Linked DNA regions of Saccharomyces cerevisiae S288C. The protein of the gene in region 1 interacts with the protein of each later gene in a biochemical or structural test. Each region holds a gene or a part of one and is shown in the gene's direction. Other genes may lie near its edges. The genes, in order: SKP1, UFO1, CBF2 and GRR1.

Region 1 (6,546 bases):
TCTGCAGAGACATCGAGGAAAGGTACTCATTTCATTGACTGGAATAGCTGCTTTATTTACCACAGGGTCGGTGGTAGTGTTTTTCGTGAAGAGATGGTTGTATAAACAGCAGTTACGGATTACTGAGCAACACTTCATCAAAGAACAGATCAAAAGAAGGTTCGAGCAGACACAGGAAGACTCGTTGTACACAATATACGAGCTACTTCCTGTATGGAGAATGGTTTTGAATGAAAACGATTTGAATTTGGACAGCATCGTTACCCAATTAAAGGACCAAAAGAACCAGTTGACTAGAGCAAAGTCTAGTGAAAGCAGAGAAAGTTCGCCGTTAAAAAGTAAAGCTGAGTTGTGGAACGAGTTAGAACTAAAGAGTTTGATCAAGCTGGTGACAGTGACGTACACAGTATCGTCGCTGATTCTTTTAACAAGACTGCAACTAAATATCCTGACAAGAAACGAGTACCTGGACTCCGCAATAAAATTAACCATGCAGCAGGAAAACTGCAACAAACTACAGAATAGGTTCTATAACTGGGTTACATCGTGGTGGAGCGATCCGGAGGACAAAGCGGATGATGCAATGGTAATGGCAGCAAAAAAGTCAAAGAAAGAAGGCCAGGAAGTGTATATTAATGAGCAAGCTTTCCTATCACTATCATGGTGGATTCTTAACAAGGGGTGGTTGAGTTACAATGAAATAATTACAAATCAAATCGAAATTGAATTTGACGGCATACACCCAAGAGATACTCTAACGTTAGAAGAATTTAGTTCTCGTCTCACGAACATATTCCGGAACACGAATTCCCAAATATTCCAGCAAAATAATAATAACCTCACGTCTATTTTGCTTCCTAAAGATTCCAGTGGACAGGAGTTTCTTCTGTCACAGACGCTTGACGCGGATGCTTTAACAAGTTTTCACTCTAACACACTAGTTTTTAATCAATTGGTGAATGAACTGACCCAATGTATCGAAAGCACAGCAACATCCATAGTGTTAGAGTCTCTAATAAATGAATCATTCCATTTCATAATGAACAAGGTCGGCATAAAGACAATAGCCAAGAAAAAACCTGGCCAAGAAGATCAGCAACAGTATCAAATGGCAGTTTTCGCTATGTCGATGAAAGACTGTTGCCAAGAAATGCTTCAAACAACTGCCGGGTCTTCCCATAGCGGCAGCGTGAACGAATACCTGGCCACTCTGGATTCTGTGCAGCCGCTCGATGATCTGAGCGCCAGCGTATACAGCAACTTTGGCGTCTCCAGCTCGTTTTCCTTCAAGCCTTAATCTCTGAATAAGTACTGACACTCACACCAGAATATATATATATATAGCGTAATCTTTAATACAGTAAGTGTGCAATAGGTAACATGACATTACCCTGCAGCGATTTAACGGGCGTCTTGGAGAAAAGAAGAGAAAGGGAAGAAATAGGTTGATATATTGAGGGCAGAGAAAGTGATAGCCCAACGTTGGCAAAGATATAACAGAAAAGACGTTATAAACAATACAGGAATACTAACAAACGTAGCGCAGATATGGTGACTTCTAATGTTGTCCTAGTGAGTGGTGAGGGTGAACGATTCACCGTAGACAAGAAAATCGCGGAGAGATCCCTGCTATTGAAAAACTATCTGAACGATATGCATGACAGCAACCTACAAAACAACTCAGATTCAGAATCAGATTCAGACTCGGAAACGAACCACAAAAGCAAAGACAACAATAACGGTGACGACGACGATGAGGATGACGACGAGATTGTGATGCCCGTGCCCAATGTTCGGTCTTCCGTTTTGCAGAAGGTTATCGAATGGGCCGAGCACCACAGAGACTCTAACTTCCCTGACGAAGATGACGACGATTCCAGAAAGAGTGCTCCCGTGGACTCATGGGACAGAGAATTCCTGAAAGTGGACCAAGAGATGCTATACGAAATTATTCTGGCGGCAAACTACCTCAACATCAAGCCCTTGCTTGACGCTGGCTGCAAGGTGGTTGCTGAAATGATCAGGGGAAGGTCTCCCGAGGAAATTAGAAGAACGTTTAATATCGTCAACGACTTCACTCCAGAGGAGGAGGCTGCCATTAGGCGTGAAAATGAATGGGCTGAAGACCGTTAGCCTACATTTCCTCTGATGACTGTGATCCTTTCTTCCGATGATAATGCGCCATTTCAGAGCAAGATAGGCAAAAATAAGCAAACAAGGCTTGCTGTCATGCAATGTGTACGTTAGTCCACCATAACCAAGCATGTATGAATTATATATGTATACAGTTTACATAAACTTCAAACTACAATAAGATGTGTGGTCCATCGTCGTGTGTAGCGATAGGCGTCTTCTAAAAGCCGCAAAAGTGACAAGAAGAAAAAAGGAAAATTATTGAGTTATAAAAGCTATTGTTTACATGATGAGACGGGATAAATTTAGGACAGATAGCTGTAAACACTCCGTTTTGAATCATATTTGTGAAATATTTGGTCTAAATTTTAAGTCAAGTTTATTTTCTTCGAGCATTTCAACACCAGCTTAACCCTTTGCTTTAAATTATTCATCTAAAATAGGGTATATTGATTGCTAATCACATATAAATATATAGAAGCAGCAGCTGTACAGATATCCCTAACCAATGAGGGATGAAGCTACTCGCAAAAAAAGGTCATTTAGTGATGGTCATTTTTTCAAGAAACTGAAATTGATGTCAAGGAAAAAGCAACCTGTTATGGAAAGAAGTAAGACCACTCGTACAAGGAAGGAATCTACCAATTCCGCAGCAAAATCATCCCTATCATTAAGAAGGGCCAACAATGGCAGAAAGACCATCGCTAAGAGAAGAGTACTGACCGACATAGGCTCTACTAATGAAGGTGTTGCCGGTAACTCTGGTTCAAACTCTCCTGCTCAATATTCTCATACTCCTCATTTTAGTGATTCTATCCCACCACTGCCTTTAGAGCTACCAGATATCGTCTCAATAAGGAGTAGTAGAAGTCATATTAGTAATAAGAGTAATAAGAACAAACATGGTATAGACTTGACTTTCATACCTCGAAGATCGCTACAAAATTCTAAGGCTGGCTTGAAGAAACCGAATACTTCTCCACAAGGTTATTTTAATATTCCAGTGACTATAGATAGAGCAAGTGAGAAAGTCAAACATACTGATACTAAAAATACATTCAATTCTTCGTCTTCTGAGAATGAACGACCAGTTTTGAGCATCTTACAGAAGGATGACTCTCAAAGTTCTTCGCACCCAGCTATCGATTCAATGTCAGCACCCAATAATATTAACAACAATAACGACATTGAGAATTCTTCAAACAGTCTATTTGATACTATTCTATCAATTGCTCATAGTGCCATATCTCATGTCCCTAAAATTTCAGCCTTAAATACTGAGATACAACGTGAATTTTCGCATTCAGGTGAAAGTCATACAGGTTCAACTCGCCATCCTTATTTCCATATCCACCACGCGCAGCAGCAACATCCCTTGTCACAGCAACAAGGGCCCTTACCTGTTTCCGAAAATGCTAACCAAAATCCCAATGACACAGTGCTCATTCATTCCCCCTCCGCTAACACAGCCCACCGCAGTTCATCATTTTTGCGTCATTTAGATTATTTACTATCCCCCACTTCTGGTCCAGCCTCTGATAAACATACTCAAGTAGAGGAAGGGGATGACGAGGAAGAGTTATCGCCTCTTTCCAAAGCATTTCTTTCACCATCAACTCAACTGGTACCTACAAATACATCGACTACGCCCCTTTCAGGTTCTTTGACACCTAACAATAGAAACGTAAATGCAAACTCTAACTCTGAAACCGAGAACGACAATGATAGGGATGATAGATCAAATGTTGGCAAAGTGAAATTTCAGCCCTTGAAAGTACACGAGCCTGCAATCTCAACCTTTGGTAAAGGCAACTTAACTTTAGAGGCAGTGGCAGGATCCTCTGATATTGATAATACAACTATTGATCTGGACGAGAATAATACCAATAATAATCCAAATGCAAGTTCAACAAACTTGAGTCATATTAGCAAAAGTAACGTAAACAATAATCTCGGTCCAAAAGAATTAAACACAAGTTATCGTAATAGTACCTATATCGACATGGCAAGGTTTGAAAATTCACAATCGAACCTTTCTAGCCATAGGGCAAGAAGTAAGACACTGCCCGCGAACAAAGCATTAGAGAATGCCGTTGGTGATGAAGGTAATAGTAAAAGAAATTCAAGATATTCTTCTTATTCAAACGATATGGCCTTTGATGATGCCGACGAAAGAAAATTCAGAAGTATGTCCAAAAAATTCTTAAACAGGAGATCTTTTTCACCTTCGAACTTAGGCAATAAAGTGATCCCTGGAATTAATTTAAGAAATTCATTCAACAAAAATAGGAATAGTAGTTCTGATTTCTTTAGTACAAATCAGGGACAGCAAATGCCAAGAACAAGTACTGCGGGCTCAGGTAATATCCATGCAATAATGGGTTTGGATTCTGGCAATGATGATTTCAAGTTAGAAGGTATTGAATATGCTTCAGAAAAGAAAAACAGCGAATTTCATACCCTTTTCAAGGACTGCGATATTAATCCTAACGAAAAGTTAATTGTCGATCATAGTTGTGCACTATCTCGTGATATTCTTTTACAAGGAAGGATGTATATATCTGATGCACACATTGGATTTTTCTCAAACATTTTGGGATGGGTCAGTACAGTTTTCATTCCGTTTAAGGAAATCGTTCAGATTGAGAAAAAGACTACCGCCGGAATTTTCCCCAATGGTATTGTAATTGATACGTTGCATACAAAGTACATCTTCGCCTCTTTTATGTCAAGGGATGCTACCTTTGATTTAATTACAGATGTATGGAATCAGATCATCTTAGGTAAAAAATATAGGAATGGCTTCGGTAATAATGACGACGGTACGATAAGCGATTCGAGCAGTGCATTTTTTGATGATTCCGATGACAATGACGACGATGGAGACCTGGATGACGATGACCCTGATATTAATAGCACAGATATGACATCTAGTGACGATATTGATGCTGATGTTTTCAATGAATCAAATGATCTTGGTAAAAACCAAAAATCTACGAACTACTTATTGGGTCCCAATAAACACTCTCCAACCACTGCTGATTTCAAACCTTCCAATAATGATCATTTGGTTATTGAAGCAAATATTAATGCACCATTAGGAAAAGTAGTAAATCTTTTATACGGTGAAGACGTCTCTTACTATGAAAGGATCCTTAAAGCTCAGAAAAATTTTGAAATATCGCCAATCCCTAACAATTTCCTCACAAAGAAAATTCGTGACTATGCATATACGAAACCGTTATCAGGCAGCATTGGTCCAAGTAAAACAAAATGTTTGATCACAGATACTTTAGAGCATTATGATTTGGAAGACTATGTTAAAGTGCTCAGTATTACCAAGAACCCGGATGTTCCTTCAGGGAATATCTTTTCAGTGAAAACTGTTTTCCTTTTCTCTTGGGATAAAAACAACTCCACCAAATTAACAGTTTACAATTCTGTTGATTGGACTGGTAAAAGTTGGATCAAAAGTATGATTGAAAAGGGAACATTTGATGGTGTTGCGGACACCACAAAGATAATGATATCTGAAATTAAGAAAATCTTAAGTGATGAAGACTCAAACATAAACTCAAAGCATCAAGCCAGCAATAATGAATCAGAAGAAGAAATTATTAATCTGCCAACTATTGGACCTCCAGTTCATGATCCGACGGAACCTGATTTTCAAAAAGGAAAAGACGATACAGTTATCGATGAAAAAATTAATATACCAGTTCCTTTAGGAACAGTGTTTTCACTATTGTATGGTGATGACACATCATATATTAAGAAAATCATCGAAAACCAGAATAACTTTAATGTTTGTGATATTCCAAAGTTTGTGAATAACGCAAGAGAGATCACCTATACCAAAAAATTGAACAATTCATTCGGTCCGAAGCAAACTAAATGTATAGTCACAGAGACCATCGAGCATATGGATTTGAACAGTTTTTTTATGGTAAAACAAATAGTCAGATCTCCGGATGTTCCTTACGGTAGTTCATTTTCAGTACATACGAGATTTTTCTATTCCTGGGGTGATCACAACACAACGAACATGAAAGTTGTCACCAATGTTGTCTGGACAGGTAAATCAATGCTGAAAGGAACCATTGAGAAAGGTTCAATTGATGGACAAAGAAGTTCAACAAAGCAACTCGTAGATGATCTCAAAAAAATAATTTCTAATGCTAGTTCAACGAAGAAAAAATCGAGGAGAAGAGGAAAGACGGTAAATAAAAGGAAATCATCACCATCCACTATCAAGAATGAGAAGAATGAAGAAAACTTCGAAGATACAAGTACCAAAAATTCATTTTTTTCCGCTTTCTCAATGTTACAACAAGTAAACATAACATCCGTTCAAGGAATTATGACAATTATCTCTTTTTTTATTTGCTTGATTTTCTTCTTTAGATTATTATT
Region 2 (8,041 bases), on another chromosome or scaffold:
CCAAACCTTGGTTTTGCCTTAGATACTGGTAGGAGCTATCGAAAAAAGATGTTGCAGTTTTCTTTTGAGCGGCGGAACGATGATAACCTTTAGAGTATATGAATGATTTGAAAGCCATTTTCGTTTGTGTATGCTTGTTTTTTCTTTTCTGTTTGTTGTAGTCTCTATAAATTTAAATGCACTTATCTTTTTATGCAAAAAAAGCTGGGCGAGTTATTTGTTTCTATATTTGTATAATTTTTTTTTTTGTGAAGATGAATATAAACTGACAAAAAATTGTGTCAGAGTTGAAGCTATAGCTCCTTTTATGATGTGTCTTGGTTCTTTGGGTGCGATATTAGGGAAACAACGCACAGCAAATTTTCTTCTGCTTTCTTATAACGTTATAAACAATCCTGTTGTCTTGGTTTATTATGTGGAAAACTTTTCACGGATCAATTTTATAAAGCATACAACTAAAGAGAAAAGTGTAATATGGACGAACGAGAGACAACTTAATCCATGGATTTGTAATTGACGTGTGTATGATTCGAGGGAAACTGACAGTTTTTGCTTTGTCATGGGGGAATTGTAAGGCACACCGAGTCTCGGCCCCGAGTGCCTGGCCAATGAGAACGCGCGCATTCGGAGCTGCCCCACTTTTTGTGCGCTCTTGCATTTCATTGGTTAGCCGGAGGAATTCGGCGGTTAAAAGCGGACTCGAGCGGAAATAAAGTCTTTGCTTATTGTATGCCAGGAAAAGCTCTACAAATCTACTAAAAGAGTCAAATATACAGCTTTGCCAAGCGTGCGGCATAGGGAATAACAACAAATTGGAAATGTGCGGCTAGCGTAATCTTGGTATCTACTACCGACTCTGAAGAGTTTAGCGGGCTCTCAGACGGTTTTTTCGCTTTTGGCATTTTATTCAGGTAGCCTTAGATGTTAAATTTTCCATGGCATCTTGCGTAAAGCCTGCTAGGTTCCTTGCCACGTATAATTGCGCCGCGAATTCTGTGATAAATATATTGTAAGATTTTCTGTTGTCTTGGAATTGCTCTCTCTTTAAATAATACTTTATATGTTTACCCCAATTCTTTGCCGCCGAAAGGTCAGCGTTGCATTACGTGGTGTCCGGTCGCTATTTCCTGGGTTTTCTGCGGCAGATTCGCACTGCGCGCCACAGCTGCAACAACTGCAGTGTTATTTCGGGTGCCAATTTAGCGTGCTTCGATCTAACTATTCTGTAAATTCTGTAGTGACTCTTTAGGGCGAAGTACGTATTTCATGATTTAAAATCCCCGTCTTCAAATATACCGAAAAAAGAAACAAGACATTTTTTAGCAGTTTATGTACGCATTTTAAAAGCCGGGAAATGCTTCTTGTTACCCCTTTTGGCGCTTTGGATAAGTAGTTCACTTAGCTATTTTTTTTTCCGGTTCGAACTCGGGGTGAGGCTTTATCATGCACTTTTTTTTGGCTATTATTAATTTTCGCAGCCTTAATTTTTCCCTTTCCATTTTCTCGCATGTGGCGGTTTTCAGTATTACTTAGAGATGCCTTAAATAAATCTAACAGGCAGGTATACCAGGTACGAGTTAAAAACCTTTATCAGGTGGCCGACACTAGGGAATAAGACAGCATGGAGCGGCCTGGCTTGGTATTGCAGGACCTTCCACCCGAAATCCTGATAAACATCTTTTCTCACTTAGACGAAAAGGACTTGTTCACGTTGCAAGAACTTTCTACGCATTTCCGGAACTTAATTCACGATGAAGAACTTTGGAAGAACCTGTTTAAGTCTAGAGTTCACACGACTCATTTCCCCACATTTTCTCAGTCTTCGAAATTTAGTGTAGAGTATATTGAAAGGACACGGGGTCTTCATCATTGGCAGCATAACAAGGCTATAAGAACCAAATACACAATAATTCCGACGAGAAACTGGGATCAGCCCAGTATAGAACGCATAGTGTTTGATTATCCACGAGTTGCAGCTTATAATGATGGTACCATTACAATTTTACAGTTACAAAATCACAAAAGGCAGAAGAAATTTAAGAAATTGATTTATATTCCATGTACAACACCACAAGGTTGTTCTACCATGGACTTCAATATTAATGCTGCAGTGTTTGGTAGGTTTGACGGCAGAGTGTTTGGAAAACTGCTAAGTAACAAATCGTACTTAACGCCCGTGATGGAATTTACGGGAAGGCATAGTGCAGGCGTTACTGCCATTTGTAATTCAGAATCCTGGGACACGTCAAGAGAGGACTGGTCTGTTAGTGGCTCTGAAAACGGTGAAATTATATGGTGGTGCGAAAATAAGCTTGTTAAGATGTGGAAGGTTTCTAATAGGGTAATTTGGAAACTGGCTTTTTTTAAAGATTGGACCTTAATTATGGATGATGAAAAGCTGTACATTATCCATCAAATGCAGGAATTGCACAGTATTGATATTCCTAAGGATCTGGACGAACAGCCTATGAGGGTACGGTTTTTCAAGATGGATTTCGGTTCCATGACTTTGGTACTTGCTGACCTGAATAACGTTTATACAATATCGGTCAATCCCAATGGTAACTTCGGCAATTTGAGAAAGTTGGAGATGCCTGAACAAATATGCGCAGTTGAAATAGATGAAAAAACTTCTCAAAGGGAACAAAACTGGCAATTTGCTGGTGATGACGGCTGCTATATCAGTCTTTTGACGACACAGAACACTTTATACATTATCAATATAAGAGATCTTTCTTCGTCAGGCTTAAAAGTTCAATGTAAGATAAGTTTTGATGAGCAGGTATACGTATCGCAGGTGACAAATTTAATAGTTGTGGTAGCATTGCCAAATGTTCTTCAAATATTGAACGCGATGACAGGCGAGTTAATAAAGACAGTGTTGAAAACCGAGAAGTTTCCCGAATTTTTGAAGGTATCGCAGGATAAAATCATTATGGGAAGCGGTAACGTTTTGAATTATTTAAAGTTTGTTTCAAGTGATTCAAAGAAACATCACCATTCCACTAAAGGTAAAAACACAGTAAGCAATAAGTGGAATGAAACTTTGAACACGGAGCTGCAATATTATGATGAAGATGAAGACCTTAGAAGAAAAAGACAGTCAGAAATATCAAGATTGATCGATGCGTATGGTGGAGACCTTGAACTTTCAGGCGACACCGATGAAGAAAACGACATTCAGTTGAGAATTGCACTCTTAGAATCACAGGAGGCGCAAGCACGGAATCAAGCTGAAGCGGGGGAGCCTGTCGGAGATGATGAAGATGAGCAGTTAAGAAGGGCGCTGGAGGAATCTCAACTGATATATGAGACGCAAACGAATAGCTCTGCGAATCATGGTAATAATACGAATGATGAGATAGATGAAGATGATGAAGAGTTTCTCAGAGCCATCAGACAATCAAGAGTGGAGGACGAAAGGAGAAGACATCTTAGAAATCATACTACAGGTCGACGAAATGGGCCCTTGAGCGACGATAATTTTGCTACATATGGTGCAGCAGAGTCATCCGAACGAACCTCAACTGAGAACACTATCGGTAGTTCTGTTGGCGTTGATGCTAGTAATAATGTTGATGAAGACTTACAATTGGCCATTGCGTTGTCATTGAGTGAAATCAATTGAAAGTATGTACATTTGGAAGAGCATATGTTAAATATTTTATTTATAGATTTTTCGTTGTGAAATATTATTTTTTTTTTTTTGAAAAAAATGTCGGACTTTATTCCTCCTAATTATTAATAAAATACGAATATATATCTAAATATAATTAATGCTTATTTACATGAAAAATCATCAATCGTAAACAGTTGATTAAAAAACAAAAACTTTATCGGTTCCATTACCTTTGTGAAACCCATTACTCCACCCCAACTCCTTTGCATAATTCAAAACCATTTCATTCATTTTAGGTGGTCCGCAAATCAATAAACGATGGTCCTCCGCTTGTTTAGGTAGGTATCTTTTCATTTCCTCTAGAGTTACGTACCCAACATCACCGTTCCATTTACCGTTTGGCTTATGAATTACATAATGAACTTTAAAATGCGGGTACTCCTTAGCCATGTGGTCTAGTTGCGATTTCATGAGAATGTCATCCTCTGTTTCGTTTGCGTATATCAAAGAAATGTGTGTTAGGTCTTCTGGAGAGGGTATGATTTCTTGCAGCACTTGCAATACAGGGGTTATACCAGACCCCCCTGCGATTATACCCAACTCTGTTGCGGTGTCCTGATCATATTCCAGCTCACCTAACGGCCCTTTAAATTCAACATACTGGCGAATTTTTAATTTATCAAAATACTTAGAAACGACACCATGTTTATACGTCTTGACTACTAATTCCAAGTGACCCTCCGTATTAGGAACATTTACTGGCGTATAGTACCTCACTAATCGCTCACCATTTATTGTAACCCTTACTGCCAGGTGGTATCCCATGGGAATATGCAATCTTTCAAATGGGTACTTTAACTTGAAGCAGTACAGACTAGTATTACGAGAAATGCGGGTCTTCTTGGATAGCGGTAGCGCGACCCATTTATTTCTGTAAAGAGATTTATCAGTTCCAATCGAAATAAACGCTGTGGCATAAAGTACTACGAATTGCAGCAATGAAACGACCACGATTCTACCATTTTGCGTTTTCCAAAAGTAAAGAGGTGTAACCACACAATTCAGAAGCAATCCAGTACAAAATGGATAAAACGGATTTGTCGAAACAAAAGATATGCATGTCTCTACTATCGACATTGTTGCGAATGGTTGCTTTTTACAAAGAAAAAATGTGATATGAGTTAATACTAAACATACTTAAATCCTAGAGAGAAAAAAAGTACTGCAATATATACAGCACTCAAAATACATTTCTATCTGATTTCTAAAAACTTCCCTGTAGATGGATCTACGTTACGCCATGCCGATGTTTCGTTTTTGCTTATACGACCAATCATTACCGCGTTCGGCTTTTCCAAAAAAAAAAAACTATAGTAAGGATAATGAAAAGAAAAAAGGGTCCCATGATTACTAAAAAGCTCTAATTCAAAAAAAAAGTCTTTGATAGGCAGCTAGGAATAGTTATTAGAATGTACATGAACAGTCATCACACTGCTATATATATATATATATATATTCTTTTTTAGTAAAATATAGAGATTATTGAGACAAAAAGAGACTAGTCGGACAACTCACTAGGATCTATAATACCATTTATGATAGCCCACTGTTTGTTTGCCAAGAATACATTATCGGGATCTTGCTCCTTTCTTATTTTCCGGAACTTTTTCAAATCCTCGCCATACCATTCTTCAACCTTCAATGCCATCCCCCTCATTTCAAAGTCATCGTAATCAGTATCCTTTTTCACTGGTCCAGCAGCTAGAGTGGTTGAGCCTAGGAAGTTCTTGGCCCAATGTGGCTTACCTCCCGCTACCATCATAGTATTTTCAAAAAGGGTAAACCATTTATGAATTGGAGTATTACAGCCAAACGGCCTATAAATGGTAGCATTTATGTACAACGTCAACTGACTGTTGGTAACATTTTCCAACGGAGCAAATCTGCAATGGGATGGTGTGTTATCCAGGAATGGGCGGCACACATTGCCATAAACGGGACCGGGACTGGTGTTTGTTCTCTTGCTAGTATCCAAGGGTTCAGAAGGTAATGTAGTATTTGAGCAACGGACTTCCATAGGCACGTGGACATAAAATTCTTTGTTTATGGCAGCCTGCGCAATAGAATGATCCAATGAACGTAAGACTTCCAAACCATTATCCATAGGGCACCCCCATTCATCAACAAATTGTGAAAACAAACAGTCCATATTAAATCCGCTGATAGAATCGGTAACATTAACATCACCAGTAGAGCTCTTCTCCAATTTCCCGTATTGCCTGTTGAAAACGAACTTTTCCACAAATGGGGTTAATGGCGCATAGATTTTGGTAGAGATCCATAATAGAGTTTCGTAGAAAAATCTACCCAGCTTGGTACCCCACCATGACTTGGCTGGACCATTTTGGGCATCTGTAGTTTTGTTACCCCTCCATAGAACACATTTTCTAGTATAAGGGTACCACCAAACTCTGATAAATTCAGATGAAGTCCATAGGGTATCCCATTGCTTCAAAAGGTTTTCAAAAGTAATCACTTCTTGAGTGGATTTAATATTGAAGCCGGGAACAACCCTGATAGTAGCAGAGACAATGATACCAATTTTTCCAACTGAAAGTAAAGCAGCTTTAAAGACTTCTGGATCGTTTTCAGCATCCAAGAACTTCAATTCGCCCTTACCATTAACAATAGTCAAGTTTACGTATTGAGAAGAAATCAAACCGTGATAAGGTGAGGAACCATGACTACCAGTAGAGATTATGCCAGCAACACTTTGTTCTGAGATAGAGCCTAAATTTTGGATAGAGTAACCTTTCGCACCCAAAAATTCATTCAATTGGTAAAGCCTCATACCGGCATCAACTGTGACATCGGCATAATGTAACTCAGGATATTCAACAAACTTTTGTACTTTGTCCAATCTGTCTAAGTTAACAAGCCATTCATCAGTAACGCACATGTTACTAGGAGAATGGCCCGAACCAACAGTAACTAAGCTTTTTTCAGCTAGCCTGGCACTCTTTACTAACTCGACAACCTCATCAATTGAACTTGGTTGGAAGTAACGTTCTGGTTTTGCAGAATAAATTCCGGCCCAGTTTTTGAACACATAGTTCTTTCTAAATGGGATAGTAGACATGGGGTGAAAAACCTGATAATATCGGTAACTTTAATTTTACGGGTTCTTGTTTTACCTTCTAATGAATTTTAAGTTTTGAAAAGCAGAAAATCAGATATTGAAACTATAGATCTGCTTACCTTGAAGTTCACTATTTTTGGAATTCTCCTTGCTAATAGTTACTTCTACTCTTGCTTTGTCCTGGATATCAATGGAAGATGTCCTCATTTCCATTTTTTTTTTCAATTCGACGGCAAGGCGGGAGAAAAGGAACTAGGGATACAAAAATGCAATTACTAATGAAATCCGTGAAATAATCATGGAAATGGGTGATGTAAGAATCTGATGAAACAAGTACAAATGTCTTTGGCCCATCAACTACGATGAGACTTACTAAGCTTTCATCAAATGCAGGTTAGAGAAGGAGAATGGTTTTTTTTTTTATTTTTTGTACATAGATATTAGAGAAATATAATAAGTAGATTATAGATAAGATATCACCAAAGAGATATAACAGTAGGGGGAATTTTTTTTTTTACAATATACTTGAAATATAGAAAGGATAAGGAGGTTGGGGGCGAGAGTGAACCTTAAAATTCCTCTTCCTCAGCGTATGAGTCGGCACCCACTTCGATGTAATCTCTTTCTAAAGCAGCCAAATCTTCTCTAGCTTCGGTGAATTCACCTTCTTCCATACCTTCACCGACATACCAGTGGACGAAAGCACGTTTGGCATACATTAAATCGAATTTTCTATCGATTCTCTTCCAAGCCTCAGCAATGGATGTGGTATTTGACAACATACAGACGGCCCTATCCACAGTGGCCAATTGTGAGTTTGGTGTGGCAGTTGGAGGTTCGTAGCAAATACCGATCTTGAAACCAGTTGGACACCAATCAACCAATTGGACGGTCTTCTTGTTTTTCACCTGCTCGACAGCTCTTTGAACATCTCTTGTTACCACATCACCCCTGTATAACAGACAAGTAGCCATGTATTTACCATCTCTTGGATCACACTTGACCATCTGGTTACCAGGTTCAAAACAAGCGTTTGTAATTTCTGACACAGAGTTGGACTCATGGAATGCCTTTGATTTGGATAAGACTGGAGAATATGAAACTAAGGGGAAATGAATTCTTGGATATGGAACCAAATTGGTTTGAAATTCGTTCAAATCTACATTTAATGAACCGTCGAATCTCAATGATGCTGTAACAGATGATACCACTTGAGCAATTAGGTTGTTTAAGTTTGCAAAGCTTGGTCTTGGGATATCCAAGTTTCTTTTGCACATGTCGTA
Region 3 (8,958 bases), on another chromosome or scaffold:
TAAAATTAAAATTCAAACCGAAAAAAAAAAAAAATTAAATATTAAACTTGATATAGTAGGAGAAGGAAGTTGTATATTGTTCTCTATAAACACAAACAATAAAATGATATATTTGTTTTCTTATTTCTTCTTGATGTCTTCAGGAAAAAAGAACATAAACAAATACAAAAAAATCCTAGTACGAAACCTCAAAAGGGTGTATGCGCAATGTATATATATAGCAAGAAAAAAAAATAAACAGTGGCATTACAGTGCATGCGGATGGCAGTGTTCTTCGGTGGCTTTTTCGAAAAACCTAGAATGCGTTTAAAAGACTCAGACACCTAAGCAGAATATGCGAATGACTCGTTCAGTAAAATGCGACGCGACAGTTTGTTTTCGTTCTGCGCTGCTGTGTTCTCTATTCTTTTGAGATGAATTTAACGGCTATGGAATCATCTCGAGAAATCGGTTCTAGTAAGGCACCAAGACATTATGTCCCTCGGGAGGAGAAGGGCGCACGCGTCAGGCTTCCACGACGTCCGCCGTGCATGCGCTCTCGCATTTTTAAGGTTTAGTGCGGCAGGCGACTGCGCTGCGGCCAGCCCGTGAGACCACCCGAGGGAATTTGAGTAAGCGCGCCCATTGCGGGGTTTTTGCGGTTTGCGCTGTTTTCCGCACGAGGTTTCTCCGGACACAGTTAAGCAGTATATTTCACTCGGAAGCGCCGGAAAATTTTTTTAAGCGCAAATATATTCAGGTAAGCAGCAAAAAAATACTTTTTCCGGTGGCCCGTGATGTGTTTGTAACAGCTTCTGCGGTACTTTGGGCGGCTAAATGGCAAATAGATCAGGGGAAGGGTTTTTGCATAGGTACAAAATAACCGGATTTTGGGTAAGATTCGATCTTCGGCACTTGTGGCGAAGTAAAAGTGTTGAAAAAGTTCGCGTAATAATAGTGTTAGCCGTTTCAGCTTCGTCCATAAAGTACATATCCACAACTCTCATGGTGCGAAGTACAAACATTGAACGGCAGCTGTCTTGCTCAGCTAGTGGTATGTAAGCAGCCGCATTCTATTTTTATTTTCGTGCCTTTAAGTGTTAAAACCTGAGGCAGATTTTTTATTTTTTTGCATTCCCCTTCCTTTTTGCCGTAATGGCGCATTCAGTGCTGATATATTTATACTTCAATGGTGCTTCTCCTTACTTTTCTTATAGAAATAAACATCAAAACATGAACCTCAAATTCATCCGAAAATGACTGCGGCCACTCACCTTGCTTCTTCCCCACAAATATTTGTGTTCTCTGCTTTCTTTGTGTGTACTTTGTCTTGCTCTATATAACTTTCTCTCTGCTGCTGAGTCTTCAAATAGGTAGATTGATGCCTGTGGACTTTTATACAAAGGAGTTTGAGTGATTACATTCAAGATAAACGTGAAAAGTTATTATTATATCTTATGCTAAACAACAGTGTAATTGCGTTTGTTAAGCACAATCTCAAAATAATGCGCTAACAGTGGTGCGCATACTGCCATTTGTTATGGGCTATAATCGGATAGTGTATTCTTCTTGTTTGGTTATGTATCTCAACATCCAGGTATCCGTTACCCCACTTTGATACCAGGAACCTTTCGCGTTTTCTCTCGCTTTTATTTTTTTACCGCATACAAACAAACAAGAAAAAGTAGAAAACATATGAGATCATCGATTTTGTTTCTACTAAAATTGATGAAAATTATGGATGTTCAGCAACAGCAAGAAGCTATGTCATCAGAAGATAGGTTTCAGGAACTGGTGGACTCCCTAAAGCCAAGAACTGCGCATCAGTACAAGACCTACTATACTAAGTACATACAATGGTGTCAGCTCAATCAAATTATACCGACACCGGAGGACAATTCTGTAAATAGCGTCCCCTATAAAGACCTGCCAATATCTGCTGAACTGATACATTGGTTTTTGTTAGATACATTAATAACCGATGATAAGCCTGGAGAGAAAAGAGAAGAGACTGAAGATCTTGATGAGGAGGAGGAGAATTCATTCAAGATCGCTACGTTGAAGAAAATTATAGGCAGTCTCAATTTTTTGTCAAAATTGTGCAAAGTTCATGAAAATCCAAATGCTAATATAGACACAAAATACCTGGAGTCAGTCACCAAGCTTCATACCCATTGGATAGATTCACAAAAGGCAATCACCACTAATGAAACAAATAACACAAATACTCAAGTGCTGTGTCCACCATTATTGAAAGTGTCTTTGAATTTATGGAACCCAGAAACTAACCATCTCTCTGAGAAATTTTTTAAAACCTGTTCTGAAAAATTAAGATTCCTGGTGGATTTTCAATTAAGAAGTTATTTGAACCTTTCATTTGAAGAAAGATCAAAGATACGATTTGGTTCCCTCAAGCTCGGTAAAAGGGACAGAGACGCTATAATTTATCATAAAGTAACTCATTCGGCGGAAAAAAAAGATACGCCGGGCCACCATCAACTCCTTGCATTATTACCCCAAGATTGTCCATTTATCTGCCCTCAAACTACATTAGCTGCATATTTGTATTTAAGGTTCTATGGTATACCATCTGTTTCGAAAGGGGATGGCTTTCCCAATTTGAACGCTGATGAAAATGGCTCACTTTTACAAGATATTCCCATACTAAGAGGCAAATCACTGACAACTTATCCCAGAGAGGAAACATTTAGTAATTATTATACAACCGTGTTTAGGTATTGCCACTTACCTTATAAAAGAAGAGAATATTTCAACAAATGTAACCTTGTTTACCCAACTTGGGATGAAGACACTTTTAGAACATTTTTCAATGAAGAAAACCATGGAAATTGGTTAGAACAACCTGAGGCCTTTGCGTTCCCTGACAAAATACCGTTCGACTTCAAGAAAATCATGAACTTCAAATCGCCCTACACTTCGTATTCTACAAACGCTAAAAAGGACCCTTTTCCGCCTCCAAAGGATTTATTAGTTCAAATATTTCCGGAGATTGATGAATATAAAAGACATGATTATGAAGGTTTGTCTCAGAATTCAAGGGATTTTCTAGATTTAATGGAAGTTTTACGAGAAAGATTTTTGAGCAATCTACCATGGATTTACAAATTCTTTCCTAATCATGATATATTCCAGGACCCCATTTTTGGAAATTCCGATTTTCAATCATACTTCAATGACAAAACTATACATTCAAAGGGTTCACCCATTTTATCATTCGATATACTACCAGGCTTTAATAAAATCTATAAGAATAAGACAAATTTTTACTCACTCTTAATAGAAAGGCCTTCGCAGTTGACATTTGCTTCGAGTCATAATCCAGATACACACCCCACTCAAAAACAAGAATCTGAGGGGCCATTACAAATGAGTCAACTTGATACTACACAATTAAATGAATTATTGAAGCAACAGAGTTTCGAATATGTGCAGTTCCAAACACTTTCTAATTTCCAAATTTTATTATCGGTATTCAATAAAATTTTTGAGAAATTGGAGATGAAAAAATCTTCAAGAGGCTATATTTTACATCAGCTTAATTTATTCAAAATTACCTTGGATGAAAGAATTAAGAAATCTAAGATTGACGATGCCGATAAATTTATACGTGATAATCAGCCCATTAAAAAAGAAGAAAACATTGTGAATGAAGATGGGCCTAACACATCAAGGCGGACAAAGAGGCCGAAGCAAATTAGATTACTCTCAATTGCGGATTCCTCCGACGAATCCTCCACGGAGGATTCAAATGTATTCAAAAAGGACGGTGAATCCATCGAAGATGGCGCATATGGAGAAAATGAAGATGAGAATGACTCTGAGATGCAAGAGCAGTTAAAATCTATGATAAACGAACTTATAAACTCCAAAATAAGCACTTTTTTACGGGACCAAATGGATCAATTTGAATTGAAAATAAACGCTTTATTAGATAAAATTCTTGAAGAAAAAGTCACTCGTATTATCGAGCAAAAACTTGGTTCACACACGGGGAAGTTTTCAACGTTGAAGAGGCCACAACTATACATGACGGAAGAACACAATGTTGGATTTGATATGGAAGTTCCTAAAAAACTTAGGACCAGTGGTAAGTACGCAGAGACTGTGAAAGATAATGATGATCATCAAGCCATGTCAACTACTGCATCGCCGTCTCCTGAGCAAGATCAAGAAGCAAAGAGCTATACTGACGAACAAGAATTTATGCTGGACAAATCCATAGACAGCATAGAGGGAATCATTCTTGAATGGTTCACCCCAAACGCTAAGTACGCCAACCAATGCGTGCATTCAATGAACAAATCAGGTAACAAGTCGTGGAGAGCTAATTGTGAAGCTTTATACAAGGAAAGAAAATCAATTGTTGAATTCTATATTTATTTGGTAAATCATGAGAGTCTCGACAGATACAAAGCAGTTGATATTTGCGAAAAATTACGAGATCAGAACGAAGGTTCATTTTCGCGCTTGGCAAAGTTCCTAAGGAAGTGGAGGCATGACCATCAAAATTCATTTGATGGTCTGTTAGTATATCTATCTAACTGAGGGAGCTTCGAAGTTTAAACTGTTTCGTATAGGGATACCGACATGTATGTTTATAATATAATGATGTTTACTATGAGAAAAAGGCTGCCGGAATATCAACGGTTGCTGTGGTGAGAAAATCGGGTAACACCTATAGGGGTTCCATCACTTCAGATGCCTTGAACTTTGAAATCTATACGAATATAGGAAGACTGAGTTGGTAGACCTGGTAAGATAGAAGAGGAAGAAGGCTTCTTTATTACCGCAACTAAGAATAAACTTATAGCTTCATGCGAATCTCAAAAAATAGTCATAAGCGGCAAAGAACGAGGCTATATTTCCTCGTTACATTTATTATTTATTCGATAATACCCTGCCGTGCGGTACTCGTGCCTTGGCTGGATGATGACCCATTTGAAGCAACGCTTCTAGAAATGGGGGATGAACCATGGAGTAAGGACATCCTTTCAAGCACACCTCCGTTACATCCATCTGAAGTTACCGAGGATAACAAAAGCTTAAAACAAAGGGGCAATGTACCGCAATATGTCATCGATAATAGCCCTCTGCTCCATTTATATAGTGAAGAAAAGTACTGGCCAGCTGATGTTAAGGATTTTGTAAAAAGATTCCAGTTGAGAGACCACAGTGGGGAGAAAATTATCAATGAACACCTTCGTGACTTAAGTGACTTACAAGAGTATTATTCGGTAGAGTTAGAGAACGGAACGTGGGGCCGAGTATCCAGTGAAGGTACATATATGACAAGTTTAGATGATTTTGATAAGGGCCCTGACTGGTTGTTGGGTGAACAACCAGAATATGGTACAGGTCACATAAAGAAAGCACCAGCAGTTCTTTTTGTCGTTGACAAAGGAAATGGTTGGGTAGACGCGTTCTGGTTTTATTTCTACCCCTTCAATTGGGGTCCTTATATTATGGGCTCCGGACCATGGGGAAATCATGTAGGGGACTGGGAACATTCTTTAGTACGATTCTATAAAGGAGAACCACAATATCTATGGATGAGTGCGCATGGGGGTGGTAGTGCCTATAAGTTCGAAGCCATTGAGAAAATCAAAAGATTGCGTCGTGTTGACGGTAAATTGACAAACGAGGTTATTAAGAAGCCTTTAATATTTAGTGCAAGAGGCACACATGCACATTATGCATCAGTCGGTCAACATGCGCACGATGTTCCGTTTTTCTTTATGCCATTGAGTGACTTTACTGATAGAGGGCCATTATGGGATCCTTCTTTAAACTATTATGCCTATACAGTGACTGTGGGGGAAAAAATGACACCATGCGGCGCTGAAGAAACTAAAATGGGACTAGAATGGCTATCGTTCAAAGGCGCTTGGGGCGATAAACAATTAAGACCTAGGGATCCCAGACAAAAATGGTGCCCATTTCAATGGAAATATATTGACGGACCAAAAGGTCCACTATTCAAAAATATGGAAAGGGTTTCTTTATGCCAAAGATTTAAATGGTGGAATTTTTGGAAGGGCTGCCCGGCAAGAAGATATATAAAAAGAGGGGAAGGTTTGGATGCAGAAAAGAATGATCTTGTGGGTGACAATTGTGGTATCTTGCTGTACAACATAAGGCCAAAGTGGCTGCGTAGCATACTCCGTTTTTTGACGTGGAGGGGAAGCGTATGTTTCATTATGGACTACTTTACAGGGTAATGAATATTTGGGCGTTTTTCGCTATTTTAGCATGCTGTAGTGTATGTACTGTGCATCGTCATGTAGCACTATTTCAGCCGTATTTTTCTTTTTTTCTTTCGCACCGTCTGTGGTTGTAAAGTTACTGACACTTTTTTTTCTAGAAAGTTCCGGAAAATTGCGACACTCGGTGGAGCTCGAGAGTTGTATCCAGTTTTCTTGTTCGGCGATATTCCGAACCAGGTCGGGTTGGGCTAACAGCCGCCCAGGATGGAAGAATTAAGAATTTCATAGAAGCCTTCAGTTCTTGGCGAAGTAAAGTGGCAAAACAAATGGAAGATCTATTGCATTACATATATAAAAGCATTAGAACAATCTTTTCTCATTGACAGGTATTCTCATTGCTCTATATATATTTTCTTCTTCTTGAAAGAAATATCAGTATTACAATCATAACAACAACCAAAAGAAAATAACTAATAGACCCCATTACAATATAGAAATGTTTTCCATATTCAATTCACCATGTGTTTTTGAACAGCTGCCATCTTTTAGTCAGCCCCTACATTCGCGTTATTTTGATTGCAGTTCTCCAGTGAGCTATTATCCAGAATGTAAAAGGAGGAAAGCAATAAAAGCTAACCTAAGAGCTCCAAAAAAAAGCGATGCAAATTGTTCAGAACCTTTGAGGTATGCACTTGCTGAAACACCAAATGGTTATACATTAAGCTTGTCTAAGCGGATTCCATATGAACTTTTTTCAAAGTACGTTAATGAGAAATTAGGTGAGCTAAAGGAGAACCATTACAGACCAACTTACCATGTTGTCCAAGATTTTTTTGGAAACCAGTATTATGTTGAAGATGAAGCGGATGAAGATGCTCTATTGAGATCTGCATTGAAAGATCTGGATTTTAGAGCCATAGGAAAGAAAATTGCTAAGGATCTTTTCCAAGACTACGAAATAGAATTGAATCATAGAGGTGATGAATTGAGCATATTGAGTAAGAAGGATAAAATCTTTAAGGAATTCTCTCTAGACCAAGTGTTTGAAGATGTTTTTGTTATTGGCTGTGGAGTTGAAAACATAGATGATGGCTCGAGAGAAAAATATGCACTTTTAAAGATTGGTTTAGTTAAGCATGAGGAAGAAATTTCCGAAGGTGGCATCAACGAACCAAAGATGCCAATAATTGAATCCAAAATAGACGAGTCTCACGATGATGTTAACATGTCTGAATCTTTGAAGGAGGAAGAAGCGGAGAAAGCGAAAGAACCACTAACCAAAGAAGACCAAATAAAAAAATGGATAGAGGAAGAAAGATTGATGCAGGAGGAAAGCAGAAAATCAGAACAGGAAAAAGCTGCCAAGGAAGATGAAGAAAGGCAAAAGAAAGAGAAGGAAGCCAGATTGAAGGCAAGGAAAGAATCTTTGATAAATAAGCAAAAAACCAAGAGGTCCCAGCAAAAAAAATTGCAAAATTCCAAATCATTGCCTATCTCTGAGATTGAGGCCAGCAATAAAAATAATAATAGCAATTCTGGTTCAGCAGAAAGTGATAATGAAAGTATAAACAGTGATTCTGATACGACTTTGGATTTCTCTGTGTCTGGTAATACACTAAAAAAACACGCTTCACCCCTATTAGAAGACGTTGAGGATGAGGAAGTTGACAGATACAACGAGTCCCTAAGCAGATCTCCCAAGGGAAACTCTATTATTGAGGAGATATAATGGGTGATAATACATACTCCCCATCTTTCATTTTTACGGCATTAAATAACTAATTATATGCATCTTATATACTACTATAATTCACTGACTTTATGAAAGGAATATAAATCGGCACGGCAGAAGGCGGATTTATTTTGTTACAATATAACAAAATAAAAGGGCAACAGTAAAGTAGAAATTATTAGTATCCGTGATTTTAGTACAATTATTTGCTTCCTAGAAATCCGGTTTTCCATGTTAACATTTATGCTAGTATTTTATGGTGGAATGGCAAGTGATTCACAAAATACAAGCTACTTTATCGAATGATTGAAATTCATTTCTGCTTGAATAGAATTCAACTATCGTTTATCGATTCTATTTTGAGGATTCCTATACCCTCGAGGAGAACTTCTAGTATATTCTATATACCTAATATTACTACTGTTATTAACAATGGAATCCCAACAATTATCTCAAAATTCACCAATATCTCAATTCCATCTTTAGAAAAATTAAGTTCAAATTAACGGAAACAGTAATCAAGTAAAAGAGCTTTTTTTTTCTTCTCCCCTTCCTGCCCTGAAGATAATTGAGTAAATGTTACGTTGAGAATGGCTTTTTGATATTTCATTAGATTTACTTCATTATTCTTCTCTATTCTCCCCTTTCATCAATTAATTGGGCGTGTGGCGTAGTCGGTAGCGCGCTCCCTTAGCATGGGAGAGGTCTCCGGTTCGATTCCGGACTCGTCCAAATTTTTTTACTTTTAATGAGGTATACTGGAATATTACGGCTCTTTTTTTTTAGAAACATATTCCTCAAATGGGTAAACGGACCCTGGTGCAAGGTGTGGGTGCTGAGACAAATACGATCTGAGTTGTTTTAAAAAGGAAAACAAATGAATGCGTGCCCAAAGCGGAAAATTGGTCAACATCGATGCGTAATTAGTAGGCCCAGGTGAGCCTGTGCCGAACATGTATCTCTGCGCAGATTACTATATATTCCCGAGCATAACAGCATATAGTTTTCTTTCACATAGGCCTT
Region 4 (9,377 bases), on another chromosome or scaffold:
CTTGCACAGACTGAATCAAAGAAATATACACCAAACCAACGAAGTTTAGTGAATGGAGATGTTCCCTTCTAAGTGTTTCCTTTGCATAAATAAACATTATTGTTTTCTCGAGGAATATTTCATTGTTGTTTACCTTTTTCCAAATCGGGTCATCTATTCGTTCCTCGCGACAATGTCTCTTTTTCATTTGGACAAATTACCCGCCGACAATTATTGGGACAAAGGGGGGCGTTTCTCGTAGGATGACCAATGGCGCATAGAGATGAATAGTTAAAACAATAAGAGGCACTTCGAGAGATTTGTGTGTATGTGTGAGAAAGAGCGTGAACGTCTATTTATTCCTTCTTAAGATGGATAAAAGTAAGCAGATGAACATCAACAACTTGTCCAACATCCCCGAGGTGATTGACCCTGGCATCACTATCCCAATATACGAGGAAGAATACGAGAACAATGGAGAGAGTAATAGCCAACTGCAGCAACAACCCCAAAAGCTTGGATCATATAGGTCGCGAGCAGGAAAATTTTCTAATACATTGAGTAACCTTTTGCCCTCCATCAGTGCCAAGTTACACCATTCGAAGAAAAATAGTCACGGAAAGAACGGTGCTGAGTTTTCCTCTAGCAACAACAGTTCCCAATCTACGGTGGCGTCCAAGACACCAAGGGCCAGCCCTTCCAGGAGTAAGATGATGGAAAGTTCTATAGACGGTGTAACTATGGATAGACCTGGCAGTTTAACCCCTCCTCAAGACATGGAAAAATTGGTGCATTTTCCTGACTCGAGTAATAACTTCTTAATTCCTGCCCCCCGAGGATCTAGCGACTCGTTTAACTTGCCACATCAGATCTCGAGGACGAGAAACAACACAATGTCTTCTCAGATAACTTCCATTTCATCAATCGCCCCCAAGCCTCGTACTTCGAGCGGAATATGGTCTTCAAATGCTAGTGCGAACGATCCCATGCAACAGCACCTTTTGCAACAATTGCAACCTACGACAAGCAATAATACAACTAATTCAAACACGCTCAACGATTATTCGACAAAAACTGCATATTTTGACAACATGGTATCTACTAGTGGAAGCCAAATGGCAGATAATAAGATGAATACGAATAACTTGGCTATCCCAAACTCTGTTTGGTCAAATACCAGACAGAGATCTCAATCCAACGCGTCTAGCATATATACCGACGCTCCACTGTACGAACAGCCCGCTCGTGCCAGTATTTCATCGCACTATACTATTCCAACACAGGAATCTCCATTGATTGCTGATGAAATAGATCCGCAATCCATCAATTGGGTAACAATGGACCCCACTGTACCATCAATAAACCAAATATCGAACCTTTTACCCACAAATACCATTTCTATTTCCAACGTTTTTCCCCTACAGCACCAGCAGCCACAATTAAATAACGCGATAAACTTAACAAGTACTTCCTTGGCAACCCTATGCTCCAAATATGGTGAAGTCATATCTGCTAGGACTTTAAGGAATTTAAACATGGCTTTAGTTGAATTTTCTTCCGTGGAAAGTGCCGTAAAAGCCTTAGATAGTTTACAGGGCAAGGAGGTATCTATGATTGGAGCACCAAGTAAAATTTCATTTGCCAAAATCTTACCTATGCATCAACAACCCCCACAATTTCTTCTCAATTCTCAAGGCTTGCCATTGGGTTTAGAAAACAACAATTTGCAACCACAGCCTTTATTACAGGAGCAGTTATTCAATGGAGCTGTGACTTTCCAACAACAAGGAAATGTTTCTATACCTGTATTTAACCAGCAATCACAACAATCGCAGCACCAAAACCATAGTTCGGGTTCTGCTGGTTTTAGCAATGTTCTCCATGGTTATAATAATAACAATAGTATGCACGGAAACAACAATAACTCAGCAAATGAAAAAGAACAATGTCCTTTCCCTCTACCACCACCTAACGTTAACGAAAAGGAAGATTTGTTAAGAGAGATCATCGAACTTTTTGAAGCAAATTCCGATGAATACCAAATCAATTCGTTGATAAAAAAATCGCTGAATCACAAAGGCACTTCCGATACGCAAAACTTTGGACCTTTACCAGAACCATTGTCTGGCAGGGAGTTCGATCCACCAAAATTACGCGAATTGCGAAAATCAATCGATTCAAACGCATTTTCCGACTTAGAGATCGAACAGTTGGCTATTGCAATGCTTGACGAATTGCCCGAATTGAGTTCAGATTACTTGGGTAACACTATCGTTCAAAAATTATTTGAACATTCATCTGATATTATTAAAGACATCATGCTGAGGAAAACAAGCAAATACCTAACCTCTATGGGTGTTCACAAAAACGGAACATGGGCTTGTCAGAAGATGATCACTATGGCGCATACTCCGAGACAAATCATGCAAGTGACGCAAGGGGTCAAGGACTACTGTACTCCATTAATCAATGACCAATTCGGAAATTATGTCATACAGTGCGTTTTGAAATTTGGATTCCCCTGGAACCAGTTTATTTTTGAAAGTATAATAGCTAATTTTTGGGTTATTGTTCAGAATAGATATGGTGCAAGGGCAGTCAGAGCTTGTTTAGAGGCACATGACATTGTAACTCCTGAACAATCAATAGTTTTGAGTGCAATGATCGTTACATATGCTGAATATCTAAGCACTAATAGCAATGGTGCGTTGTTAGTAACGTGGTTTTTAGATACTAGTGTTTTACCCAACAGACATTCTATCTTGGCACCAAGATTGACGAAAAGAATTGTAGAGTTATGTGGCCACAGATTGGCTTCTTTGACTATTTTGAAGGTCTTGAATTACAGAGGGGATGATAACGCTAGAAAAATCATCCTAGATTCCCTATTTGGAAACGTGAACGCACACGATTCTTCGCCACCAAAGGAATTAACAAAGCTTTTATGTGAAACAAATTATGGCCCAACCTTTGTCCATAAAGTTTTAGCAATGCCATTATTAGAAGATGACTTAAGAGCCCACATCATTAAACAAGTCAGAAAAGTATTGACGGATTCTACTCAAATCCAACCAAGCCGCCGTTTATTGGAAGAAGTCGGGTTGGCATCACCCTCTAGTACTCATAACAAGACAAAACAACAACAGCAGCAGCATCATAACAGCAGCATTTCGCACATGTTCGCCACTCCTGATACTTCTGGACAACACATGAGAGGTCTTTCTGTTTCTAGCGTTAAAAGTGGTGGATCTAAACATACCACAATGAACACCACGACTACAAATGGTTCTTCTGCCTCTACATTATCCCCGGGCCAACCATTGAATGCCAATTCTAATTCTTCAATGGGCTATTTTAGTTATCCTGGCGTCTTCCCTGTCAGCGGCTTTTCAGGCAACGCCAGTAATGGATATGCTATGAACAACGATGACTTAAGTTCCCAGTTTGATATGCTAAACTTTAATAACGGAACCCGTTTATCGTTGCCACAACTGAGCCTAACTAACCATAACAACACTACTATGGAATTAGTAAACAATGTTGGCTCCTCACAACCTCATACGAACAACAACAACAATAATAACAACACGAACTATAACGACGATAACACCGTTTTTGAAACTCTGACTTTACACTCTGCAAACTGACGTCCCCATGTTTTCTTTTATTTCCGTCATCATTGGGAGACCACGCCGTTTTCTTCTCATACCTGCATCCATTCAAAACTATCTCATTTACCCCCAACGGTTTTATGGTTCAAATCCTAATAGAATATGAGCGAGCTAATGAAGAATTTGGGCATTTTCATTACTGGGAAGACGTGTCTTTTTCAAGCCATCATATCGCCAAATTTTTTTTCTACACCTAATCATGATTAAATAAATCCATAAAGTTTTATACAGTTTTTAAAAATATCATCATTTATTACCCAGATGTGTTAATGAACATTTATAGTCATCATTACTAGGCTTTCATTACTACTGAGGTTACCCGCCTATGGACCTTCCTTGGTAAAGGAACTTGTTTTAAAATTTGCCTTTTAACAAATTTAGTGATATGATTATCAAAAAAGGCGTGGCAAAATACATAACACCAAATTTAACTGTGCCTGTGTGTTACTTTCTTTTGTCCATACTTCACCAGTTTTTCGATTTTACACAATAATTCGTTTTCATTTAATCGTTCTCTTAGAAGCCCGGTTTTTGAATATCAAAATCGTACTTGTGTCCAACTAGCAGGGAAGCCCAAAAATTAAGGCATTGCATTTAAGCTTACACCTGCGTGAAATCTTGAAATTTCTCATTGATTTCGGCACAATAATTATCATTGGTAGTGAGGCTAAACAGTTTTGCGGTTTCCTTTATACTAAGAAGGTCTATAATGGATCAGGATAACAACAACCACAATGACAGCAATAGGCTGCACCCACCTGATATACATCCAAATTTGGGCCCTCAATTGTGGCTGAATAGTAGCGGTGATTTTGACGACAACAACAACAACAACAACAACAACAACAATAATAATAGCACAAGACCACAAATGCCATCACGAACTAGAGAAACGGCAACTTCGGAAAGAAATGCAAGTGAGGTTAGGGATGCAACGCTAAATAATATCTTTAGGTTCGATAGTATTCAACGGGAAACGCTTTTGCCAACCAACAACGGACAACCGCTAAATCAAAACTTTTCGCTGACATTTCAACCACAACAGCAAACAAATGCGCTGAACGGGATTGACATAAACACTGTGAACACAAACCTTATGAATGGTGTCAATGTTCAAATAGATCAACTTAATCGATTGTTACCGAACCTACCAGAGGAAGAACGGAAGCAAATCCACGAATTCAAGCTAATAGTGGGCAAAAAAATCCAAGAGTTTCTGGTTGTTATAGAGAAACGTAGAAAAAAAATACTGAACGAAATTGAGCTAGACAACCTTAAACTAAAGGAGCTACGTATTGATAACTCCCCACAAGCAATTAGTTATTTGCATAAATTACAAAGAATGAGGCTTAGGGCGCTAGAGACAGAAAACATGGAAATTAGAAATTTAAGGCTAAAAATATTAACAATTATAGAAGAGTACAAAAAGTCATTATATGCATACTGCCATTCCAAGCTAAGAGGTCAACAAGTGGAAAATCCAACAGATAATTTCATCATTTGGATAAACTCCATAGATACTACTGAATCATCTGACTTGAAAGAAGGGCTACAAGATCTTTCGAGATATTCAAGGCAGTTCATAAATAATGTGCTTTCGAATCCATCAAATCAAAACATATGTACGAGTGTCACCCGAAGATCACCTGTGTTTGCCCTAAACATGCTACCCTCGGAAATATTACACTTAATATTAGATAAACTTAACCAAAAATATGATATTGTAAAATTCCTTACCGTTTCCAAACTCTGGGCTGAAATAATTGTGAAGATACTTTATTACAGACCGCACATCAACAAAAAGAGTCAATTAGACTTGTTTTTAAGGACTATGAAGTTAACTTCTGAAGAAACTGTATTCAACTATCGTTTAATGATCAAAAGATTAAATTTTTCATTTGTTGGTGACTACATGCACGATACAGAGCTTAACTATTTTGTCGGATGTAAGAATTTGGAGCGACTAACTTTAGTATTTTGCAAGCATATAACCAGTGTTCCAATATCGGCTGTTTTGAGAGGATGTAAATTTCTCCAAAGTGTGGATATCACTGGAATAAGAGACGTTTCCGATGACGTATTTGATACCTTAGCGACATATTGTCCCAGAGTACAGGGCTTTTATGTTCCTCAGGCAAGGAATGTAACATTCGATTCACTGCGGAATTTCATAGTCCATTCCCCGATGTTGAAAAGAATAAAAATCACAGCAAACAATAACATGAATGACGAATTAGTAGAACTATTAGCCAACAAATGCCCTTTGCTTGTAGAGGTCGATATAACATTAAGTCCAAATGTCACTGATTCTAGTTTGTTAAAACTCCTCACTAGGTTAGTTCAGCTGAGGGAATTCAGAATAACTCATAATACGAATATTACGGATAATCTTTTCCAGGAGCTTTCTAAAGTAGTTGACGATATGCCCTCTTTAAGATTGATTGATCTTTCTGGATGTGAAAATATTACAGATAAAACTATAGAAAGTATAGTCAATTTAGCCCCTAAATTACGTAATGTTTTTCTAGGCAAGTGTAGCCGAATTACAGATGCATCGTTGTTCCAATTATCGAAGCTGGGCAAAAACTTGCAAACAGTGCATTTTGGGCACTGTTTCAATATAACTGATAACGGGGTAAGAGCACTCTTTCATTCATGTACAAGAATACAGTATGTGGACTTTGCGTGCTGTACGAATTTAACCAATAGAACTCTTTATGAACTAGCAGACTTACCAAAATTAAAGAGAATTGGCCTTGTCAAATGTACGCAAATGACTGACGAGGGTTTGTTGAATATGGTTTCCTTGCGAGGCCGAAATGATACTTTAGAAAGGGTACATTTATCTTACTGTTCTAATTTAACAATATATCCGATATATGAGCTTCTAATGTCTTGCCCAAGGCTCTCACATTTGTCTTTGACTGCTGTTCCGTCATTTTTACGCCCCGATATAACGATGTATTGCAGGCCTGCACCCTCAGACTTTAGTGAAAATCAACGTCAAATATTCTGCGTATTTTCAGGGAAAGGTGTTCATAAACTTCGCCATTATTTAGTAAATTTAACGTCGCCCGCTTTTGGACCACATGTCGATGTAAATGATGTTTTGACAAAATATATTAGATCCAAGAATTTGATATTTAACGGTGAAACACTTGAAGATGCTCTTAGGAGAATCATAACTGATTTAAATCAAGATTCCGCTGCAATTATAGCTGCTACAGGATTAAATCAAATCAACGGTCTAAATAACGATTTTCTTTTCCAGAATATCAATTTTGAACGAATAGATGAAGTATTCAGTTGGTATCTCAATACTTTTGATGGCATTAGGATGAGCTCGGAGGAAGTTAACTCACTATTATTGCAAGTAAACAAGACGTTTTGTGAAGATCCATTTAGTGATGTGGACGATGATCAAGATTATGTCGTAGCACCTGGTGTAAACCGGGAAATTAACAGTGAAATGTGTCATATTGTTAGAAAATTCCATGAGTTAAATGATCATATTGATGATTTCGAGGTGAATGTTGCTAGTTTGGTAAGAGTTCAGTTTCAGTTTACTGGTTTTTTACTTCATGAAATGACTCAAACCTATATGCAAATGATTGAATTAAACAGACAAATTTGTTTAGTACAAAAAACGGTTCAGGAATCGGGCAACATAGATTACCAAAAAGGGCTTTTAATATGGCGACTTTTATTCATTGACAAATTCATTATGGTGGTTCAGAAGTACAAGCTCTCCACCGTTGTTTTGAGACTATATTTAAAAGATAACATAACATTGTTAACCAGACAAAGAGAACTATTAATAGCCCACCAAAGATCAGCATGGAATAACAATAATGACAATGACGCCAACCGGAACGCCAACAACATAGTGAATATTGTATCGGATGCTGGGGCAAACGATACAAGTAACAATGAAACTAACAATGGTAATGATGACAATGAAACAGAAAATCCAAATTTCTGGCGTCAGTTTGGCAATAGAATGCAAATATCACCTGACCAGATGAGGAATCTCCAAATGGGACTTCGTAATCAGAACATGGTTAGGAACAATAACAACAACACAATTGACGAATCAATGCCTGACACTGCCATTGATTCTCAAATGGATGAAGCATCAGGAACGCCCGATGAAGATATGTTATAATTGTATTTCATTGAATACTTACTGTCCTACTACACCTTTATTTTCAAAATCCCACTTTTCTTACTTATTTACATATAAATACATAATGCATTCACTTTGAAACTTTTTGCCTTAGCATGTATACGCTATAGACTTGCGGTATCAACGAATATACGTAACGTTGTCACGTCCACAGAAGATGCTATGTCAACAGTTCCCTGCAGATATCTGCGATGCGGCGAAACATTCTATACACAGTTTCAAAACTACAAAAAATACAAACCTTTAGCCTGTTTATCAAATTAGTTAGCTATAAAATGCCCATTTTCTTAGCAATATCGATCAATTGATTGTCATCTTCCAAAGTTTCAATAAAATTTGTGGCAGTATAGTAATCCCTTCTCAATATGTCCAATTTCTTATCACAGTCATCTATAAATTCGCGCTTAATAGATTGCACTTTTAGGTTCACCCAATTGTTGAATGTCATGTCCAACTCTTCTGCAGGCATTTGCTTAATCAAAAAAGCCAGATCACCGTCTTTGTCATTAGCTAGCGTAGCATCATTATTATTTATATATTTTAACAAATCATGGAAGTAATTTTTTACAAGGTGTCTATTTTCATCAATTTTAAACCATTCTGCTGCATTCGGTTCTTTTTCGTTGTTGCCCTCATTAAATGAACTTCCTTTCTTAGAATTATCAGCCAAACTTGTGCTTGTTTCCTTTCTTTGTTCTTCTAAACGTGAATTCCGTGGATATGAAGAGGTTCCAGACACCAAATTCCTTGCAACTGATGGGACTGGCTCAAATTCGGGTTTAATAACCTTTTTTATTTCTACAGTTGATGAATCTATAGGTATATCCAATTCCTTCCCAGAAAACTCTTCATCAAATAATTTTCTTGACTTGTTTTCTTGAGATGCGATCGGGGTTCCAGTCTCAAAAAGTAACATTTCATTATTTGGGGTCTCATTCTTCACAGACACATCTTCCAGTATTTTTATAGTTTCCTGCTTATTAGTAAAATACTTACCATCGTCAGTTTCTTTTTTGAGGCCAGAAAGCTCTTTGACTGCATGCAAACTGCGTGTGAGATTAATTTTAGGGCTCGCTACCGGCGTTGAAATAACGCTTGAGCTTTTTGATGATTGCTCAGATTGTGATGATGGTGAAAAATCGGACGCCGAAAAATTTAGATCTATATTGATGTTATCTAATTTTCTTTCTGTTGGAACAACTTTTCCACTTATTGATAGGCTTCTTGGTTCTTGCAAGTTTTTCCTTGGTTTAGGATGAATATCAGCGGGAATGCTGGATGTTTTGCTATTGCCTCTCCTTTGTTCCTCTTTGGGTATTGCGGTAATATTACTGGAATTATCACCACTTTTATTAGAATGTAATATATCTGGAGATTGCCGTACAGTTGAATCTTTTTGATGTCGAAATTCCCCGTTTTGTGCTTCCCTCTTTTCAGAGTTATCTCTAATTAACTCATGTGTCTTTGGAACTTCTGGGGATCCACCATTGGGGACCTTATCTCTGTCGATATCACCCAAATTCTGATCTACAATTTGCGTT

The links.
Region 2: the proteins of SKP1 (region 1) and UFO1 form a complex in vitro, tested with the Saccharomyces cerevisiae proteins (2 studies listed by BioGRID).
Region 3: the proteins of SKP1 (region 1) and CBF2 form a complex in vitro, tested with the Saccharomyces cerevisiae proteins (2 studies listed by BioGRID).
Region 4: the proteins of SKP1 (region 1) and GRR1 form a complex in vitro, tested with the Saccharomyces cerevisiae proteins (4 studies listed by BioGRID).

The regions. Positions count from the first base shown.
Region 1 is NC_001136.10:1,121,021-1,127,566, reverse strand, and holds SKP1 (SCF ubiquitin ligase subunit SKP1), read left to right. Parts: upstream 1-1,548; coding exon 1,549-2,133; downstream 2,134-6,546. Other genes in the region: PEX3 (Pex3p), read left to right, coding at 1-1,297; YSP2 (Ysp2p), read left to right, coding at 2,642-6,546.
Region 2 is NC_001145.3:90,614-98,654, forward strand, and holds UFO1 (SCF ubiquitin ligase complex subunit UFO1), read left to right. Parts: upstream 1-1,621; coding exon 1,622-3,628; downstream 3,629-8,041. Other genes in the region: RPM2 (ribonuclease P), read right to left, coding at 1-118; AIM33 (cytochrome-b5 reductase), read right to left, coding at 3,818-4,756; ALO1 (D-arabinono-1,4-lactone oxidase), read right to left, coding at 5,178-6,758; alpha-tubulin TUB1, read right to left, coding at 7,328-8,041. UniProt on the Saccharomyces cerevisiae protein: Substrate recognition component of a SCF (SKP1-CUL1-F-box protein) E3 ubiquitin-protein ligase complex which mediates the ubiquitination and subsequent proteasomal degradation of target proteins. Probably recognizes and binds to phosphorylated target proteins.
Region 3 is NC_001139.9:765,755-774,712, forward strand, and holds CBF2 (Cbf2p), read left to right. Parts: upstream 1-1,674; coding exon 1,675-4,545; downstream 4,546-8,958. Other genes in the region: VPS62 (Vps62p), read left to right, coding at 4,815-6,218; BTN2 (Btn2p), read left to right, coding at 6,700-7,932.
Region 4 is NC_001142.9:589,310-598,686, reverse strand, and holds GRR1 (SCF ubiquitin ligase complex subunit GRR1), read left to right. Parts: upstream 1-4,359; coding exon 4,360-7,815; downstream 7,816-9,377. Other genes in the region: JSN1 (Jsn1p), read left to right, coding at 351-3,626; BIR1 (survivin), read right to left, coding at 8,105-9,377. UniProt on the Saccharomyces cerevisiae protein: Substrate recognition component of a SCF (SKP1-CUL1-F-box protein) E3 ubiquitin-protein ligase complex which mediates the ubiquitination and subsequent proteasomal degradation of target proteins.